2 linked regions of the Notamacropus eugenii genome follow. The protein of the gene in region 2 interacts with the protein of the main gene of each other region in a biochemical or structural test. Links are inferred from orthologs where the notes say so. Each region holds a gene or a part of one and is shown on either strand. Other genes may lie near its edges.

Region 1 (10,257 bases), about 260 Mb from region 2:
TTTAGAACCCAAGAGTTTCTGGAAAGGAAGGAAGATAGTGAATAAGGAGGTTGATGCCAGGTACGAGGATCTTAAATTTTACTTGGACCACATTTTCTCTGAGGTCAGGGGGTCTGTTGAAAGGGAATGGACAAGATCTATAGAAAATAGATTTGTTTGCCTCATGCTGACATTTTAATTGCTTTTTATTTAAATAAGGGAAGCAATAGAGAACCTAGAGAAAGCATGGCTTCCATTGTTTGTGATGGAGTTGTCAAGATTCTCTCAGCCTGTCCCACTGCTCTTCCTGAGAGGACAAAAACAAAACTTTGGTTGCCCAGGCTTCTTATGCAGAATGGCATCATGCATTTGTCTTCTGCCCCTCCTTCCCCCATATTTTAACTTTCTCTGGAACTTGTTTAGGGACATGATCATAATAGTGTCTGCATTCAACATTGTTCCCTTTATTTCCGTCTAAAGTCATGCATATAAAAAGAAAATCACCTAGAAAAAAATATTTTAAAGAGTGAAGTTGGGGCTCAGATTCCATAAGAATCTAGCCTGCTTTCATTAGTGATACAAATGGTCAGATTGCTTAAAAGTCTGGTCAAGGTCAGAGTCAGTCTGGCCTGCTTGTCAATACAAGTGTCACAAATGCTCAGATTCTTTAAGAGTCTGGCCAAAAACCCAAACAGGTGTTCTAATACACTTTGCCTGAAAGAAGGCTTGGGTTAAATTTATTTGAAGCAGGACCTGCTGTCACTTGTCCTTGAATTTTGGGGTCCCAGCACCCCTAGACTTCAACATTTTGGTTCCCTGAGACTGAGAAACTGCCTAATCTCAAACTCTTCTCCAGCCAAGATTGGAAGGAATGTAAGACTCCCCTCTCTCCCTATTCCTCTCTTGTCCTGCAGTTGGGGTCGGCTCTCCAAAGCACTAGGAATGTTCTGTAGTCCCGGCTCTGACCAGGCTAAAACCACAGTGAAAAGTTAGAACAGCTAAAAACCTGTTAGCAGATTCTGGAAGTTTTGTGAGTGATCCTTAAGGACTTTTGAAACACCTCCTTACAACCCTGGTCACTCCCTTCCCCAACTCCCATCCCTTGAGTCAAGAGGATTATCTCCATTGGGGGACTGGAAACAGCCTTGGGCTTTTCTGTTAATCCCTCCCATCGAAGGTCAGACTAGAAGAAGAGAACTTGGGGGATGGGCAGCAGCTGCAGCATTGGGCCCACTGGTAATGGACCTGAGCACCTGGGGCCGGAGAGCCTGGAAGTATGAGATGAGAAGCCAGCCAGCCTCTGCAATTTGTAAGCCCATCTTTAATAGTTTTTATATGATCTGGAAATGTGATTGATGTCATCTGAAGTTTAAAATTGTAAGATTGTTGGTTATTATTTTAACGTGTAAACTTCTCAACAAGTTTGTTGGGGTTATGGAGTTCCTAAACAATGAATTTGGCTTACTCAGAATTTGCAAGTATGTAGAAATGATTGGGAAACTGTGAATTATCTGAATTCTAAGAATATTTTATCCTGTATAAATCTTGCCCGTGCTTTATCCTTTTATAACAAATTTCTATAATCAGAGCAAGTAGTCAGTAAAAGATATAAGCACAATGCAAGTGTATGAGATCTTGCTGTTTTCACCTGAATGTGTAGTCATTCTATACCCCAAACAACCGAAATTAAATCAGAAACATCTTCAATTTGGTTTGGGGAAGAGAATTTCAGTGCAATTTATTTTCTTAGAGGGAGGTAATCTATTTGACCTAATCATTACTTAAGTATCCTCCCTAGTCTTTTATTCTAATTGGAGTAAAAGTCAGTCCCTGTTCAAGGGTGGAAAACTTTTTTTTTATTAAATTATTTTATTTGTTTTCAGTGTTCTACAATCACTTCCATATATCTTAGATTTTTTTCCCCTCCTCCCCTTCCCCCCCCTCCCCACTTCCTCCCTGAGATAGTGCACAATCTTATATGGGTTCTACACATACATTCCTATTAAATACATTTTCACCTTAGTCATGTTGCATAGAAGAATTAAAATGAATGGGAGAAACCATAAAACTAAACAAAACATAATACAAAAAAAAATTGGTCTGCTTCATTATGCAATCCAATTTCATAGCTCTTTCTCTGGATGTGGAAGGCATTTTGCCTCGAGTCCATTGGGAATTTTTAAAGTTCTTGCATTGCAATGAAATACTAAGTCTATCAGAAAAATTCCTCGCACACGGTGGTTATTGCTATATACAAAGCTCTCCTGGTTCTGCTCCTTTCACTCAGCATCAGTTCATTTAAGTCCTTCCAGGTCTCTCTGAAGTCTTCCTGTTCATCATTTCTAACCGCAAAAATGTTACTAAAACTTTTGAGAAAGTAGCAAAATCAGATAATCTTGCAGGTCAAATGTAAATAATTTTAATGGGGTCCTTGCACTTTTCATTCTCCCTACATTTGGGCCCTGCAGACTTGCTTGTTAGATTTGTGTCTTCTAGGCTACAGGTCATTCACCTACAGTTGGTGGCAAACAATAGGTACCAGCCAACGTCCCCCCCATCATCCCCTGAATGCAGCCTCTGTTTGGGTCCAGTCAACCTCCTCTGGGACACTCCTGAGGCAGGGACAGCTCCATGGCCCTTGCTGTAGGATGGAGTTTCAGAAGCTAAGACCTTTGCCCCTTACCCCAAAAGAATTTGGGTTCCGTTTGTCTGAAGGTGGAATGATGGGGATGGGATCTGAACCCCTAAAAGGAAAAGATTATGTCTTTGGGATCTGGAGCCCAAAAAGGAAAAAATCCTGAACTTTCCCCAGGTTCTTGCCATTTGCCTGGGGCATCCAGCCTTTACTGTTCCTTCTCAGTTACCTCCCAGTCACCCTAGACTACTTGACCACTCCTAGATAGATCCTTCCCACAGTCTTTCTGTATATAAATTCCATTTTACCCACCCCTCCCCACCCCCCCATTAAATTGCTCAGATTCCTTAAGAATCTGGCCAATGCTCAGATTCAATTTCTTTTTTTTTTTTTTAAAGTTTAACAATCACTGCCATACAATTGAGATTTTATCCCCCCCCACACCTACCCCCCACTACCTCCCTCCTTCCCCACGACTGCATACAATTCTGTATAGGTTCTACATATACTTTCCTATTGAGTATATTTTCACTATAGTCATGCTATGTAGTCAGACTAAAACAAATGAAAGAAATATAACAAATTAAAACATGATACACAAAAACATACACATACACAAACATGATCTGCTACATTTTGCGAATGACTTCCATATTTCTTTCTCTGAGTGTGGAAGGCATTTTGCCTTGAGAACCACCATTGGGATTTTTTTTTTTTAAGAAGTTCTTGCATTATTACGAAATTCCAAGTCTACCAGAAAAAACTCTTGCACACTGTGGTCGTTGCTGTGCACAAAGTTCTCCTGGTTCTGCTCCTTTCACTCAGCATCAGGTCATATAAGTCCTTCCAGGCCTCTCTGAAGTCAGATTCAATTTCTAATAAACCTTAAAAATTGACTTTCAAATACAAGACTCAAGAGAAGCATGAAAAGATAAACAGGAAATAGAAATCATAAGGGACTTGTTAAAGTTGAACTGTTTACATTCCTACATGGAAAAATAATATTTGTAACTCCTGAGACCTTTCTCATTATTAAGGTAGTTAGAAAGAATATAAATAGAGGGCATAGGTGAGTTGAATATGAAGGGATGATATCTAAAAATAAAATTAAGGAGTGAGAGACAGGAATGTATTGGGAAAAGAAAAAAGGGAGATGTAGAATGGGGTAAACTATCTCACATGAAAAAGGCAAGAAAAAGCTTTCACAGTGGAAGGGAAGAGGGGAGATGTGAGAGAGAATGAGTGAACTTTACTCTCACTGGATTTGGCTTAAGGAGTGAATAACATACACAGTCAGTTGGGTATGGAAATCTATCTTACCCTACAGGAAAGTAGGGGGGAAGGGTATAAGGGGAGGGGGTAATAGAATGGAGGGCAGATTGAGGGAGGGGGTAATCAAAAGCAAACACTTTTGAGGAGGGACAAGGTCAAAGGAGATAACAGAATAAAGGGGGGTGGGACAGGATGGAGAGAAATATGGTTTTTCACACCATAACTATCATGGAAGTGTTTTGTATGACTACACTTGTACAACCTATATTGAACTGCTTGCCCTCTCAATGAGGGTGGGGAAGGGTTTGGAACTCAAAGTTTAAAAAAAAAAGAATGTTGAAAATACACGCAACTGAGAAATAAGATACCCAGGCAATGGGGTACAGAAATCTAGCTTACCGCATAGGAAAATAGAAGAAGGAAATAAGAGAAGGGTCTGTGGGAAGTCAGAAAAGGGAGGGCAGATTGGAGGACAGGGTAATCACAATGCATACCACCATGGCGGGGAGGGGAGAGACGGGTGGAAAATTTGGAATTGATCATCTTTCTATTACGAATGTAGGCAACAAACATTATCTGAGATAACAGGGCAGCTAGGCGTCACAGTGGATAAAGTGCCAGGTCTAGAATCACAAAGCCTCTTCTTCCTGAGTCCAAATCTGACCTCAGACACTTACCAGCTATGGGATCCTAGTTTGCCTCAGTTTCCTCATCTGTAAAACGAGGTGGAGAAGGAGAGGGCATACCACTCTATTATTTCTGGGGGAAAAACCCCAGATGGGGTCATGAAGAGTGGGGCACAGCTGAATAACAACTTTGTGCATTAAATACCCACAGTGACTTACGCTAAACTTTGGACACATCGTGGATACTGAATTCAGAGGTCCTACCATCTAATAACACTAAGCAACCGAGGTTACAAATATTAAAAAAAAAAACCTTGGTTTCAATCTGATAAAGGATGAAACGATAACGTTCTGCATCACTGGAGGAAGTACTAACATTTAGGAAAATTAAAGAAAAGACGGACAAAGTGTTCCAGGCTCAGCGGCGCAGCCCCAACAACAGCGGGCTAGGCGGGCTTGGTGATAGGACTGAATGGTCCAGGGGTCTGCGGGGCGGGGACCCGGCGGCCCCCTGGGTCCTCAAGGGCGGCCCTCTGGCGGCGTCCCCTCAATAACACTATTTGTTCCGTCCCACTCGGAGGCGGCCCGGGGCTGGGAAGGTCCCCACATCCCCGCACCTCGTTCGTCACGTCCTGGACTCTCCTCCTGCCAACCCCTTGGTTCCATCCCCAGCTCCCTGAGGGAGGTTTTCGGTGTGACTGCGGTCCAGCATTTCCCCCAACTTCTTAGTTATTTCAGGAGAGGTCCCTCTGTTGGATTACTTTTTCAATCTTTAGAGCAAACTGCGGGCTTTAAAAACAGGGGCCTTTGGAAGCCTTTCTTCACGCCGCGGCGCACCCCAGGGGTTCCTCTTCGGGACAGTCCCGTCATGAGCGCCCTGGAGAGGCAGGGGGCGCAGAGCAGAGCCCGCGGCCCGGGGGGACCCCCGCCCAGGGCGCCCTCTTCTCCGCCCGAGGCACTTTTCTGACGCCGCATCGTCGGCCTCCGCTTTCCTGGGGAAGAAAACTGCAGGATTCTCGCTCGCTCCTCCCCTTCCCTCTGAAAATTAGAAGCTCCGTAAACACGCCCTCCTCCCAGTAATCTGGAGTTTTCTGAAGCCCGAAAGAGGGAGCTGGGAGGCGCGCTCCCACCACGGCGCATGCGCCGAGCCTGGGGGCGGGGCCGCCACTTTCCTTCCGCCTGCCGGCTTCGGCTCCGAGGCTCCTCGGCCGCCCGAACCGAGCGCGCGCCTGCTCGCCTGCCAGCGCCGGAGTGGGGGCGGGGAAGTCAAAGCGCGCGGCCGCGACGGCGAGCGCCATTTTGGACTGAGTGTCAGGGCGGCCGAGAGGCGCAGGAAGGGCAGGGGAGCTCGGCTGGCGCCGTGGCGTTCTGACGGGCACTGTCGGAGCTCGGGCCGGGGAGCCAGGGCAGAGAGACTCGGAGGGGGCGTGATCGAAGCCCAGGGCTTCCTGCGGAGGGGCTTCGGGGAGGGCCCCGGGGGCCGGAGAGGCGGAGCAGCCGCGCCAGCACCTCGGGCTCGGATGCAGGCGGAGCGCGAGGGGCCGCGGCGGCCGGTGTGCGGAGAGGGGGCCCCGGCGGGCCTGACGTGAGAGCAGCGGGAGCAGCCGCCGCCGCCGCCGCCTCCGGAGCCGGGGGTGGCGTGTGAGGGAAGCCGCCACCCGCACCAGGTAACGGAGCCTCGGCGTCCCGCCCGCCCGTCGCCCTCTCCCTTCCCCTCGGCCCCGAGACGGAGGGTCCGGCCGGCCCAGGTCTGGGGGAGGGCAGGGCCGGGTGTCCCGCGGGGCCCCGCCCGCTGAGACCCAGGAGCAGGGGCGGGGTGGGGGTCGCTCCGGTCCATCCCTCTTCTCTCCACCCCCTGAAAACAGGTCCGCCAGGTGCGCTGGCGGGCGTGGGGCGGGACCGCGCCCCTGCGCCCAGTCCTGGGGGTGGCGGTGGCTCGGGCGGGTGCCTCCCGGCCTGGGTCAGAAGCGGGGCCCGCTTCCAGCACGGACGGCGGGGGTACCCCGAATGTGGAGTGTGGAGTGAGTGACGGGACAGATGTCAGCAGAGACGGCTGCGGGCCGCCCCGCGCGTTCTGGGCTGCGTGTGGGCGAGGCCTGAGATCGGCGGGGAGGTGGCGGGGGAGGACCGCGCACGGGAGCGGAAATCTGCCAGTGACGAGCCGCCGGCCCTCGCCCTCCTCGGGCTTGTTTGGGTTGTGTCGGACGGAGTGCCGAGGCGCGGGCCCGCCCTCCGTGGGGAGGGCCCGGTGTTACTGGGTGCTTGTTTACTTTGTGAGATGGACGCTTCGTGTTATCCGTGAAAGTCCATTAAGATACCGTCAGCTGGTTTGCTTTGTGTGGGTTATCCCTCGCTGTCTTTTACCTGGACTTCTTTTTAGCACCAGCCTGGCTTCGAGCTGCTGTCCCGATGGCTATGTGCCCTCTCGCTAGTTTTAACGGCAGCTAGAGGCCAGGGGCTGGGGCTAGGCCTGGAATGGCACTGGTACCTAGCAGGTTTAGTCGTGTCCCTACCTTTCTTCTCGGCTCAGCTTTTGTCGTGGAGAGTTGCCGAGGACACTGAGGGATTAGCTTGCCCAGAGTTAGTTAGGCTGGGGTCAGAGTGGAAGTGCATGTGAGGCTGGCATTGAATGTCGTCAGTAAAAATAAAAGACGGATATAAAGGATGGGCTCTTGCCAGACTTTTCATACCGCAGATAAATATTAAAATGAACACCTCCCGTTTGAGAGGCAGCGTGGTTAGAAAGCTGAGCTTGTAACTAGAAAGACCTGAGTTAACCTGCCTCTAACGTATTGGCTCTGTGACCGTGGTAAATTAACCCCTCAGTGTTTAGGCCGGTGGTGTCAAATTCCGCAGACATATCCGTGCAGTGCATGTAGACTTAGAAAACCACAAATTAGGATTATCTGTGTTATATTTTTATTTTGTTAAGCATTTCCTAATTACTTCCAGTGGTAAAGCACTCTGCAGTTTTGCTGGTCCTGAGCTTGACACCTCTGCTTTAGGCAACTCTCACAAGACAAGTTTTCAGTAAAAGGGGTTGCTACATCTAGGAGTTCCCTCTACCACTGAAATCACAGAACTGTTCCTTTGCCAGTCTTGGACACTATTGCTGATGGTCAAGTTACTCTTATTTCAGTAGTTTTGGGGAGTGTTACAACTTAGCCCAGCAAAACCTTTCCTTTAGCTTGTGTTTTACTTGGTGATTTTCGTTCGAATCCAACGGCTCCGTTTCCTTACAATATTTAGGAACCTAGAATAATTATGTATGAAAGCACCATGTTGGAGCATCTGTAATTAGAAAAGTTGGTAACATGACATTGAACAAGTATGCCTGCAGAGGGCTGATTTTTGTTGCTCTGTAAAAAGTCTTGATTGACTTTTATTCTCCAGTTCTGTTCTGTCACACTCCTCTTCAAATATATAAGTACTTAACTTGACCAAAAAATGGGAGATAAATAGTTCATTGACCAAACTGCCCATAGGTGAATATCCCTGAAGCATCACTAACTTTGTAAAGTACAGATTTATGTGCAAATAGACTAAATAATTAACTTTGAAGATGATCTGAATTATTATAGGTAAATAATATAGGTGAAAAATTAATAAATTGGGCTTACTTGGCAAAGGATATTAAAACATACTAAAAGCCTAATTATATTCTGTGACTGTTGTTAATACACCTGCAACCTCGATGCTTATTTTTTTCTTTTCTAATTCCCTCAATCATCTAGTCTACATGCTTTGACAGGAATGACTTCTATACCATTCCCAATAAATTATTATCCAGCCTATGCTTGAAGATGTCCTGTGCTTCAGAACTTGTTAGAAAGTTGTTCTACGTGTATTAAGTATGTGGATGACCAGAAAGAGTGGTACCTCTCTCTACCACAAAGAGACTGGAAGAAAGACCACACTTTTGCTACTAAAGCAATATGTTTCAGTTGGATATTAACTCTGACCTCTAAAATAACTACCTGAGTTCTTTAGGTTGTAATTCTGGGTGTAGGACTTTTTAATTGATTAACAACCTCGCCTTGCTTCTACAAATTAATATCAATAGTCCCTTTATTCTGATATCTTGTTTATACAAGATAGTTTGCTTATTCCCATTAGATTGTGAACTCCCTGAGAGCAGGGCTTTTGCCTTTTTTTTGTAGCCCCAGTGGCTGGCACATAGTAGAGGCTTAATAAACGCTTCTTGACTTGACTATTTGGAGCTAATATTTATCTCAAGCAAATAGGAGCTAGTGGAGTACAGTAGAAAGAGTACTGTTGCTTAGAGGAGAACCTGAGTTGAAATCTTAGCTCTGCCATTTATTATATGTGTGATCTTGGAAAAGTCACTTAACCATTTTGGCCTTCATTTTTTCCCATTTGTAATAGAAGGGAATTGGACTAGATGACTTTTAGGTCCCTTCTAGCTCAAAAGGTCAAGACTTTATCATCTTTGACCAGCAAAACAAGGTTAATTCTTCCCCATTATATTTCTCTCCAGAGAGTTGAAGATAGCTATCTAGTTGGCTAAGTTTTTTGTTTTTGTTTTTCCTCCAGGCTAAACATACCCAGTTCCTTCCAATAATTTTCATGTGGCATGGTTTTGTGTGCTAGTTTTGTTCTGGTTGTTCTCCTTAAAATATGTTCAAACTTTGCCTTCCTAAAATGTGGCAACCAAAAGTGAATGCAGTATTCCAGATGCGATGGAGAATATGAAGGGACTGTTAATTCTCGAATTCTGAACAGTATGTTTATAATGTAGTCTAATATCACATTAGCTTTTTTTCTGCCATGTCACACTTAAGACACATACTAAGTCAATTTTGTTATTTTTTTTTAATTATCGCTAATTCTGTTGAGAATCAGTCACCATTTTTTCATTTTCCTGTTTGAAGACTTTGGTGTTATCCTTTGACTATTGTTTTTCACCTCATATACTTAGCCACTTATCCTTCTTTTCTGTCCTTCGCACTGCTACACTTCTAGCACAGACCCTCTTGACTCCCTTTCTGAACTATTGTAGTATAGCCTTATAACTGCTATTCATTCCTTTCTTTACCTATAAATTCCCTCCTTACCCTCTCAGTGGCAGTGCCAAACTAATATTCTTTACATAGATTTGGTCTTGTCACTCTTCTGCTCAGATGTTAAAATTAGCTTCCTGTTATTTACAGAATGAAGTTCAGACTGTTGCCTAGTATTCAAGATACTTTATAATCTTAAACACCTCCTCTGCTCCCCCACCTCCCCCATCTTTATAGCTTTAGAGACCATGTTTTTAACTTTACTGTCATCTGTAGTTCTGTGACAGGGCAACTGAATTTACTGCTGTCCTTTGAACATACCTGTACTTTCCTGCCCCATACTTCCCTGTCTTAAATGCTTTCCTGCCCTCCCTTCCCACGTTAAATTCCTATCCACCCTTTAAAATTCAAAACCATCCCTTTTCTTCCCTGACATAGCCTTTATTTAACATCTCTAATGCACTTAAGTATTTTAGTGGCAACTTTGTGCTGGATTGTAAGATAGCATGGACCATGTTTCAGCTCAACTTTGTACTTTTTGAAATTCCTAGCAACATACTCTTTACCCAGAGGACACTTACTTAGTAAAAATTTGTTAACTAGCTAAGAATGGTTTAAAGCAGTGGTATTAAACTCAAATAGGAACAGAGTGACTAATCAAAACATAAGCATCCCTGTGGATCACTTACTGACAGTTTTAAAATGTAATATTGCCTCCTGTATT
Region 2 (9,490 bases):
TAGAGAACTGGAGAGGACCTTGGGGTACTGAGTTCAGCCACCTCATTTTACAGATGAGCAAAGTTAAGTGACCTGTCCAAGGTCACATGAGAACTGGGGGAGCCAGAATCTGAACCCAAGTCCTCTGACTTCCAATCCAGTGGCTTCCCCCCTCACTCCACAACCTGTACAGTCCATCTTACTTATACTTCATCGCTTTCAGGTGCCATGATGCCATTGGTGTGAGCCTTCCCTCTCTCCATCCCTGCAGGTGACATCCACTCCACATTCAGTGGCACTCAGGAGTTTCGGTGACCAAAATAATTCATCTTCCAATGGCTGGCCAATCTGTCTCCAAACTGAGCGGGGCCAGTGCTGGAAAGCGGACGTACATCCTGTTGCTTGGCCCCTACAGGAAATCGACCCAGCCTGGTACAACCTGCCAGAACCTGCAGGGAACCTCTGAGATCCCCAGGATTACATTCCCATTGGGATGAGGCAGTAGTGAATGACTTTGGGAAGATACCTAGAAAATGGGTCCATTTCTCAGGAGGGCATCCTTACGTGGGCGAGGGTCTAAGAAAAGCGTAACCTCGACTGCGAAGGGTCAGAGGACTGGCTGAAGGAGGCAGGGATGGTTAGCCTGCAGAAAAGGAGGAGTAGGGCAGGCATGATAACTGAGGGAAGGGGTCAGGCCCCTTCTATCTGGCCTCACAGGGTAGGACAAGGAGCAGTGGATGGGAATTACCAAGAGGCAGACTGAGGTCTGGCATAAGAAAAAACCTGCTAACAAGGAGACCACTCCTAAAACAGAGTGAACAGTGGAATGGGAGCTCTTCTTCCTCTTGGAAGTCTTTAAATACATGACAAATGAGCATTTGGTGGATGTTGTAGAGGGGATTATTATTTGGCCAGGGGTCTCTGAAATCCTGCCATCTCAGGGGCTCTGTGACATTTTATTTAAGCTCCAGAAAATGGAGTCAGAAGCAGCCTCATTATATCACTAAGCATTCTAGACCCATATTCGCCAAAATATGTACATCTCTCCAACTTGTCTAGGTGGCAAGGAAGTCAGCTAGGCCAGGCTAGGAAAGAAAAGATGCTCCCCTCTCCTTAGCCCAGGGAGGCACAGACAGAGAGCCGACCTGTGCAGGAGCCTGAACAAGTGCCTGGAAGCAACCTGTCCTACAACCCCAGCATTTTTAGTTTTCAGGATGCATTTTGCCTGTTCAATTCGTTTCAATCTGCTTCTCCTCATTAAGATTAACTTCCTCTCCACCTACTAATTTCCCTGGCTTCCTGTGGGTCTCAACTAAAATCTCTTCTTTTCCAGGAAGCCTTTCCCAACCCCCTTTAATGACTTGTGATCATGATTTCCTAATGATCTTGTGCATAGCTTGCTTTGTACATGTTGTTTCCCTCAGTAGATCGGGAGTTCCCAGAGGAGGGTCTCCCCAGAGCTTAGCACAATGCTTGGCACACAGCAGGCACTTAATAAATGTTCACTGACTGATCTATGTCTAACACATCCGAAGGACACATGGCTCTGTTCATCTTCCCTTCTGAGAAATGGCCCCCACTTGCTATGCTCCATCTGGTATGCTACTGTTATAAAAGGGGCCCAGACAGAGGCCTGGCTGACGGTGAGTAGCCAAGACACTTGAGAAGACAATATTTCTGGCCATGGGGAGACAGAAGCCCAAATTCTAGCAGAGAGCTGAGGCCCGGCCCCCACAGCACTCTGGCTGTCAGCTCTGCATAACATCAGGGCAAGCTGGAGCCAGGCCAGCCAGCTCTGGCAGACATGGATACTCCTGGGTCAGATCTAAGGAAAGGCCCTTCAGCAGCTTTCATTTATCCCCATGGGAGCAGGAAGAAAATAAAAGACAAAGGCTAGCCCATCATCTTTGGGTTTCAGAGTTCCCTGGCTGGCTTCAGCTCCTGGCAGAGCAGGTCAGGCCCTTGCAGCAGAATGCGTGAGATCCACCCTCCTGGGCCAGAGGCATGGGGAGTACCCCCCACAAGGAGCCAGCTGGGACTCTATGTTGAAATATAGACAACAGTCTCACTGGATTGGAGGCTCAGGAAGGGGCGCCAGAGGTTCATGGTCAAACTGCAGCCTGAATTCCCTCAGGAGAGGCCTTTGTGGACAGAGCCTTAAGGAATGACTAAGATCCTGCCAGGCCCCCTCCCATCTCTTCTAGCCCAAGTCCTCAGCAAAGGGAATGGCTGAAAGGTACTTGCTCTTTTGTAAGAGGGCTTAGAGATATGCCGTATTTGCTTTTGCAAAATGAAAGTCTTTGGGGTCCAGTCCTTGGCCAACATGCCATCATCAATGAGTACAACACAGGCCTCAGCTGGCTGCTTCTATGGGACATAAAGAAATTGTACAGCCGGAGCTTTTTCAGCAGGATCAGGTTTCTGGTCTCTGTTGTATGCTTTATTTCACAAATAGGAAGGGGATCCAGGGCTGACATGCGAAACCATTTACAATTATAAAAAGCTTTCCCTACTCCTGATTTAGAAGATGAGGACAGAGATTTTCCTCCCCTATGGACAAATGGAAAACTCGAACCTTGAAAGCAGAATGATTAAGCGACTGGCCAGGATACTTGCTTGGATGGCTTAGAAGTAGCACAGCACCCCTGATGAGTGTGCCACGCTCTGATCCGTGTACACCCCAGGCACCACCTGCCTTCTCACTGATCCAATTGCAGGAAAGCTTCCTCTGTACTGGAGTCTGACTGTGCTGAGCCACCTGCAATCAGAGCCAGCTGACAGGCTGCTCCCTACCTGCTGTCATCCTGCAGAGCTCAACGGATACAGAGGCTGAAGCACAACCTGCTGCCTCAGGTTACCAACAGTTTCTGTCGGAGTCCATGAGCAACAACCAAGTTTGTGGCCCCTGCCTACACGAGCTCAGGCAGGCCTACCTACACCAAAGGTGGGGGGGGGGTTCTATTTTAAATGCCAACATCTACAACCGGAAGGCAGCTCACCTTCTCTTCTTCTGGTTCTGAGGTGTGGCTAGGACTGTCCCCAAGATCCCCAGCACACTGGAGGCGGGCATGTGCGGGGCACACCTGGTAAGTCTAAAAGCAGCTTGCAAGTGCCAGTATTGTATCTGTCTGACACAGGGAATGCCACCTCAGGAAGGTCTCTCTCTCCTCATCCTGCCTATTCCCCCCACCTGGTGGGAGGAGTCTGTTTTGTGCTGCTTCACCCCCAGCTCCGTCCTTCTGGCCAGCCAAACAGCCTGTACAGAACTGCAGCACGCTGGCAGGGTGGTAAGGCTCCCGGGATTCTGTATCAATCCCACAGCGTACAACTCAGGTACCATGCCCTGCCATGCGATGTCCTTCCTTCCATTTAATCATCTGAAAACTAGCCACAGAACGTTCGTGGCAAACACCAAACTGCACACCACACGTGGCTGCTGCCAAATTCCACCGCAACCAGTACCCAGGCACTTTGCAATGACCCACGTGGCCCTATTCAATGCCCATTAAGTCACGCACACTGGAAAAGCAGAGTTGTTCTGGTCCCTGGCCCTCAGCTCCCTGCTCTGTGAGGGAGGAGCCAGAAGGAGAGCCCTCAAAGGGCCAGCCACGGGAGTGCTCCACAAAATGATGCCACGGGCGGGTACGAGGCGGCCTCCGGGCTACGGCCTAACTGGCATGCAGTCCTCCGGAAGGGGCACAGAGCCCTCAAGGTCTGGCTAAGCTTTCATCTGGTGACCAGAAAAGATGCGGGGGAGGAAGGGCAGCGACGGTGGGCACCATCATCTACCATCTGAGGTCATGCTTTAGCATGCCAGCCTGACGAAGGACAGCACAGACCACGCAGGCTGGCTCTGCCCGCGGCCCTGTCCTCAGGGGCAGAGGGACGCTGACCAGGCAGCTGGCCAGCCACGGGGCACTGCCCCTGGAGCCAGGTCCGAGGCCTCCACAACGCAAACAGGCCACTGGGTTGCATCACGCCGTAGGGTCAGGTCGGATCTGCCCCGGAGCCCCAGCCCCGCCCCCCCCGGGGCAGACGCCTCCGCACGGGCTCCGCTCGGAGCTCCCCAGGCTCGCCCCGCGGGAGGGCCCCTCCTCCGGCATCGGCTCGGACGGGAGGCCGAGGCAGACACGCGCTCCGAGGCCCCGAGGCGGCCACCCCGCCCTCCCGGGCCGGGCCCCTCCCCCGCCCCGCCCCGCCCCTCCGCCGCCGCCGTCGCGTCACCCCCGCCCCCTCCCCACGCAGGCCCCTCCCGGCCCGCTCACCTCCAGCGGTTGATGCCCACGGAGGACGAGGCCGCGAACCACGGGTCGAGGATGTAGACGCAGCGCACGCAGCGCGCCCCGCGCAGGGCCGCCTGCAGCGCCGGGTTGTCGTGGAGCCGCAGCCCCTTGCGGAACCAGTGTACGGAAGAGGCGCCCTCCTCCGGGGCCGGGGCGGGGGCAGCGGCCGGCACCGTCACCGTCACCGCAGTCGTCGCCGCCATCACAACCCAGACTGCGGCCGACGCCGCCGCTCCGCCCAGGTCGGGCCCTCAGGCCCCGCCCCCTCGAGATACCTCAACCAATGGGGTTTCCTCTGCGCTCGCAGGCCCGCCTCCCTGCTCTCGGGCTGCCAGTCCTACTGGTTCGGAGCTTCCCGTGGTCTGATTGGCCCAGAGGCCTGGGACCGGTCCCGCCCCGTCACGTTCCCACCATGTGTGTCGGCCCAGACAGGGGGCGGGGCCCACGGGCGGGGCGGCGGTGACGCACTGCGTCTGCGTTTCTGGCTACGTCTGTTCTTCATTTTCCACCCTGGGCACCCAGGGAGGGGTCCGGTCCTGGGCCCGCCGGCGCTTCGGGGGGGCACGCGGACTTCTACCTTCTCGAGGAACTCCCCTTGCTGCCGTTTGCCCCACCCTCGGGGCTCCGCCTGTCCCTCCGAGGGGCTCGGCCCGGACGGGGCGGGGGGCGTGGCTCGGCCCGGACGGCGAGGGGGGAGGGGCTCGGCCCGGACGGGGCGGGGGGCGTGGCTCGGCCCGGACGGGGCGGGGGGCGTGGCTCGGCCCGGACGGGGCGGGGGGCGTGGCTCGGCCCGGACGGCGAGGGGGGAGGGGCTCAGTCCGGGCGGGGCGGGGGGCGGGGCCCGAGTCCCGGGGGTCGGCCCTGGGAGGGAGCTGGAGCCTCGGGTCCCGGCTGGGGGGGGGGTGTCCTTCGATCTCCGTTTCCTCCTCTCCCTGCGGACGGGAAGGGCCGGGCAGGCAGCAGCCACACGTGTACCCCCGTGCGGTCCGTGCCCGCGCACATAGGTGTCCAGCAGACTCCCGCACGCGGGGGTGATTTACCTGTGCAGCGCTTCTTACCCTTCTGGGTCATGGGCCCCTTCCCAGAGAAGGTTCTTAAGAGCGTGAAACAAAACGCGTGGGTGCGGGGGGGCCGGCTGGCAGCCTTCAAACGCGCCCCAGCCCCGCACCTCTCTGTCTGCCTGCCTTGAGGAATGGCTCCCATGGGAGCCTGGTGCGTGACTTCACGCACGATGGATACCCTTGCTCGCCTTCTCAGTGGGAGTGGGGGAGAACTGGGAGCTAACACTTATTAAAACAGGTATAGTGATTAAAAATGACTTTTTTTAAAATTAAAGACCCTTGCCCTAATGGGCTGGAAGCTCACTGAGGGCAAGGACCGCTCTGCTTTTGTTTCTGCACTGCCAGTACCTAGCCTGGCACAGCGCGTGACAGACGGGTGGTCAGCCTTCTAAGCCTTTTAGAGCCAGTGTCCTGCATTCCAAGGTCTCTTCCAGCCCTGTGACTCTGCCAGGGAATAACTACCGGCCTTGACCCATTGCGGGCTCTCTGCATGGAGACGTTGGCGCAAGTCCTAGGAGGAGCAGCAGTGCTTGGAGCAGTGACGGTCCTCTGGTGACAGAAAGGCTCCGGGCTGACACAACCAATAAAGGCACGTTCTGTCCAGTAAGATTCAGGCGAACATGTCACTTTGTGTTGCAGGGAGCGTGGGTTCTGGAGAGAAACTGTTCCAAGTGGACAGCTAGGTAAGTTGCCCTACAGCCAGGACTGACGTGTTGTTTTTTGAAGCAGACTCAGTACGGTGTGGACCAGGCTGGAACCCTGGATTTAGAGTGAAATCCTGCCTTTAAAGTATATTAGCTAGTGACCCTGGGTAACCCTTCAGAACCTGTAAAATGGGTTAACGATGGAAATGGAACTCATTGTGAGGATCCAGTGGGAGCAGATGGACTTTGTGAGTTGAAATCTGATCTTAGATGATTAGCTCGGTGACCCTAGGCAAGTCATTTAACCTTTTTGCCTTAGTTTCCTCACCTGTAAAATGAGCTGGAGAAGGAAATGGCAAACCGCTCCAGTATCTTTGCCAAGAAAACCCCCAGTGGGGTCATGGAGAGTCAGACAGCTGAATAACAACAGTGCAAAGTAAATTTGCAAACTTTAAAGCCTCTGTTGATATCAGTCATTATCATAATATATTCAAGGATGTCACTGCTTAATGATATTGGACAGAGCAATCTTATTTAGGATATGATCCTCTATGCCTCAGAGATATAGAGTTATTCTAAGGAATGTGATAGTCATCTCCAGGAAAGGGCTAATCAAAAGTAGCCTGCAATGAGAAAGTTTTATTGGAAAGACTTAGATGAACTGATGCAAAGTGAAGTGAGCAGAACCAGGAGAAAGAACATTGTACATGGTAGCATCAGTATTGTACAGTGAAGAATCGTGAACGATTCAGCTGTTCTCAGAAATGCAGTGATCTAAGACAATCCCAAAGGATTCACGATGAGGTGTGCTATCCACCTCCAGAGAAAGAACTGACGTTGTCTGGATGCCGCCTGAAGCAGGCTGTTTTTCCTTTCTTTTTTTCTTCCTTCCAGCCATCCTTCCTTCCTTCCTTTTTCTTGTTTGAGTCTTCTTGTATGAAATGACTAATATGGAAACATTTTACATGATTGCACATGTATAACCTATATCAGATTGCCATCTCAGGGAGGGGAGCAGGGAGGAAGGAATGGAGGGATAGAATTTGGAACTCAGCTTAAAAAGAAACGTTAAATTTTTGTTTTAACATGTAATTGGGAAAAATAAACTATCTAAAAATAAGAGAGATTTAGATTAGACTTGAGAAAGAGCTTTCTATTAGCGAGTATTGTTCAGCATTGGGGCAAGCAACCAAGAGAATTTAGTCAGAATTTAGACACTGACCTCAATAAATGTGAAGAAAATAACCTTGCAAGGACTTTTCCAAGAGTGCACTGCAGTCAGCTTGGAATGTGTTAAATTTACCCCTCTGAAATCAGCAAATGCTACAAATCGGGGTGTGATTTATTATAGTTTTGTTGGCTATGGAACAAGTGTTAATGATGTAAATTAAATGTAAAAGCATGCTGTAAGTACAATTTTTTATGCATAACAAGACGGTTTTTACTGGGTCAAGGGTCAGATTCACAGTTGGCAGGAGATGGTATTCGATGAGTAATTGGCTGAGTGCTTGGGAAGGTCTATGGGTGCAGGCACACGAATGTCCTGTCCTCTCTCTAGCCGCCACTCACAGTCAATCAGGTAGTTGACCCCATCAATGACAAGCTGTACCAGCTTCACCTCTGATTTGCCTAGCCTGTCCAAGTTGGAAATGTCAAAAGTGCTGCCTGTGGCTGCTGTGTCCACCCCACCAGTTCCACGTTTTTGTAGCCTTAGGTTCTCTAAGATCTTGGGGAATCGACTGTCCTTGCTTAACAGGGGCAGTTTGACATGTACACTTGCTCGAAGTCCAGTTCCCAAATTAGAAGGGCAAGTCAGGATGTAACCCAAATGCTCATTCCACATGAACTCCCAGCCACGTTCTTGGATTAGACTTTCCACCTCCTTGAGCCCCCGGCAGAATCTCTCAAACACTCTTTTCATGTTGCTACCCTCTTCCATTGAGATGACCTGTGTGTGATCCTTCTCTTTCACCCAGATGAAGAAGCTTTTTCATTGTTGTGCCAGATTCCTCGAGTGTCTGGCCAGTCTCGGTCCATTCCAGCTGCTGTCAGCAAGGGAGACACAGGCTTGTCAAATAGGAAGTGTTCATCAGTAAGCGGCTGTTGCTCAGCCTTAGTCATCTCCCTGAGCAGGCCACTCTGCATCCACTACAACTCGTTCCACCTCTCGTCACTCAGCCCTTGTACAGGCAGGGAGTAGACTGAGTCCCCTGATGCTTTGGCCAGTCCAGACTCTTGAGGATAATACACACCTCTCATCAAAATGGCCAGCTTGAATCTTGCTGGCATCCAAGTCTGTGGTATGCTTCATTGTTCGGGGATCATAGCCATTATGTCTTTCTTGGATCTCTGGGTCAAAAAGCTCAGCAAATACCTCATAGGTCTCTTCATCTCCGGCTACCATGCCCACAGTCTTGATGAAAGGGTGACCACGGTTAACCAGTATCCATCGTGTGAGCATGGTCTTGTCACAGAGCCGGGCATTACAGGTGGAGTCAGGTGACTAGCCATGCAGTTGTTGTGTTTTCGAAGATCAGGGCACTTTGCACTGAGTGGGTATAGCCTTCCTTGCTTTCCAGAGGTTTGTAGTGGGTTGGGGCGGAGCAGATATCCAGCAGTCAGAGACCCTGTGCCGGCCACAGCAAGAAGCCTGAGTCCCGGGCGGGCAGAAAATAATCAGGAGAAGGAACTAGCCATGGCGTGGTGGCCGGATACTCGATCTGGGAATTAGAGCTGGAGCGGGAGCTCAAAGCGAACCAGAGGCTGAAAGATTTGTAGATTTGTAGCTGGAAGGGGGCTGGCGCTGGGCCAGAACCGATGCTGAAGCAACAGGCGAAGTGCTTGGAGACCAGGTTGGAGTCAGACCAGGGACTGGCCCTCGAGCTGCATGGAGAAGCGCCTAAGTATAACTTTTTTCAGTCTCTTATTAAACATTTATAAGCACATCATCTGAACTCTTATCAATGCCATAACCAACCAGGATTTTGGAGGACTCACTGTGACTCCCACCTCTTGGCAGAGAGGTGGTGGACTCCAGGTACAAAATGGGGTATGCCTTGTCAGATATACCAATGCAATCATGTGTATTGTTTCTTAATGGGAAGGAAAGTTGAGGAGGATGAAGAATTGTTGGGAAATGACAGCAATATAAAAAAAATTTTTTTAAAAAAATAGTTAATTGAACAGTCAGCCTTCTGCCTTGTATGCTTGAGGCATAGTCAGTCGGAGTATTTGTTAAAAGCTTACCATGTTCTAAACCGTGTTAAGTGCTAGAGATACAAAGAAGGGCAACAAACAATTCTCTTTTTTTTGTCGTTTTTATTCTGTTTGCATGGCCCAGTCATGGGCCCTGTATATTCCATGACAAACAATACTTAAGGTGCTTCCATTCTAGGCAAACAGCATGTAAACAGTGGGGTCAGACAAGGTAAATACAAAGCAGAGAAAAGTGTTCTGAAAGGAGTCAGCAGCTTGGAGAGCTGGGAAAGGTCTACTGAAGGAGCTAGGATTTGAACTGAGATTT

The links.
Region 1: the proteins of CRY2 (region 2) and FBXL3 form a complex in vitro, tested with the Homo sapiens proteins (2 studies listed by BioGRID, with this or other methods). The link is inferred for Notamacropus eugenii from reciprocal best matches to the Homo sapiens genes CRY2 and FBXL3.

What each region holds. Positions count from the first base shown.
Region 1 is NC_092877.1:260,062,306-260,072,562, forward strand, and holds the start of FBXL3 (F-box/LRR-repeat protein 3), read left to right. Parts: upstream 1-6,041; 5' UTR 6,042-6,179; intron 6,180-10,257. UniProt on the Homo sapiens protein: Substrate-recognition component of the SCF(FBXL3) E3 ubiquitin ligase complex involved in circadian rhythm function. Plays a key role in the maintenance of both the speed and the robustness of the circadian clock oscillation.
Region 2 is NC_092877.1:5,012,473-5,021,962, forward strand, and holds the start of CRY2 (cryptochrome-2), read right to left. Parts: upstream 4,535-9,490; 5' UTR 4,466-4,534; coding exon 4,245-4,465; intron 3,070-4,244; exon of another isoform or gene 3,050-3,069; coding exon of another isoform or gene 2,979-3,049; intron 1-2,978. UniProt on the Homo sapiens protein: Transcriptional repressor which forms a core component of the circadian clock.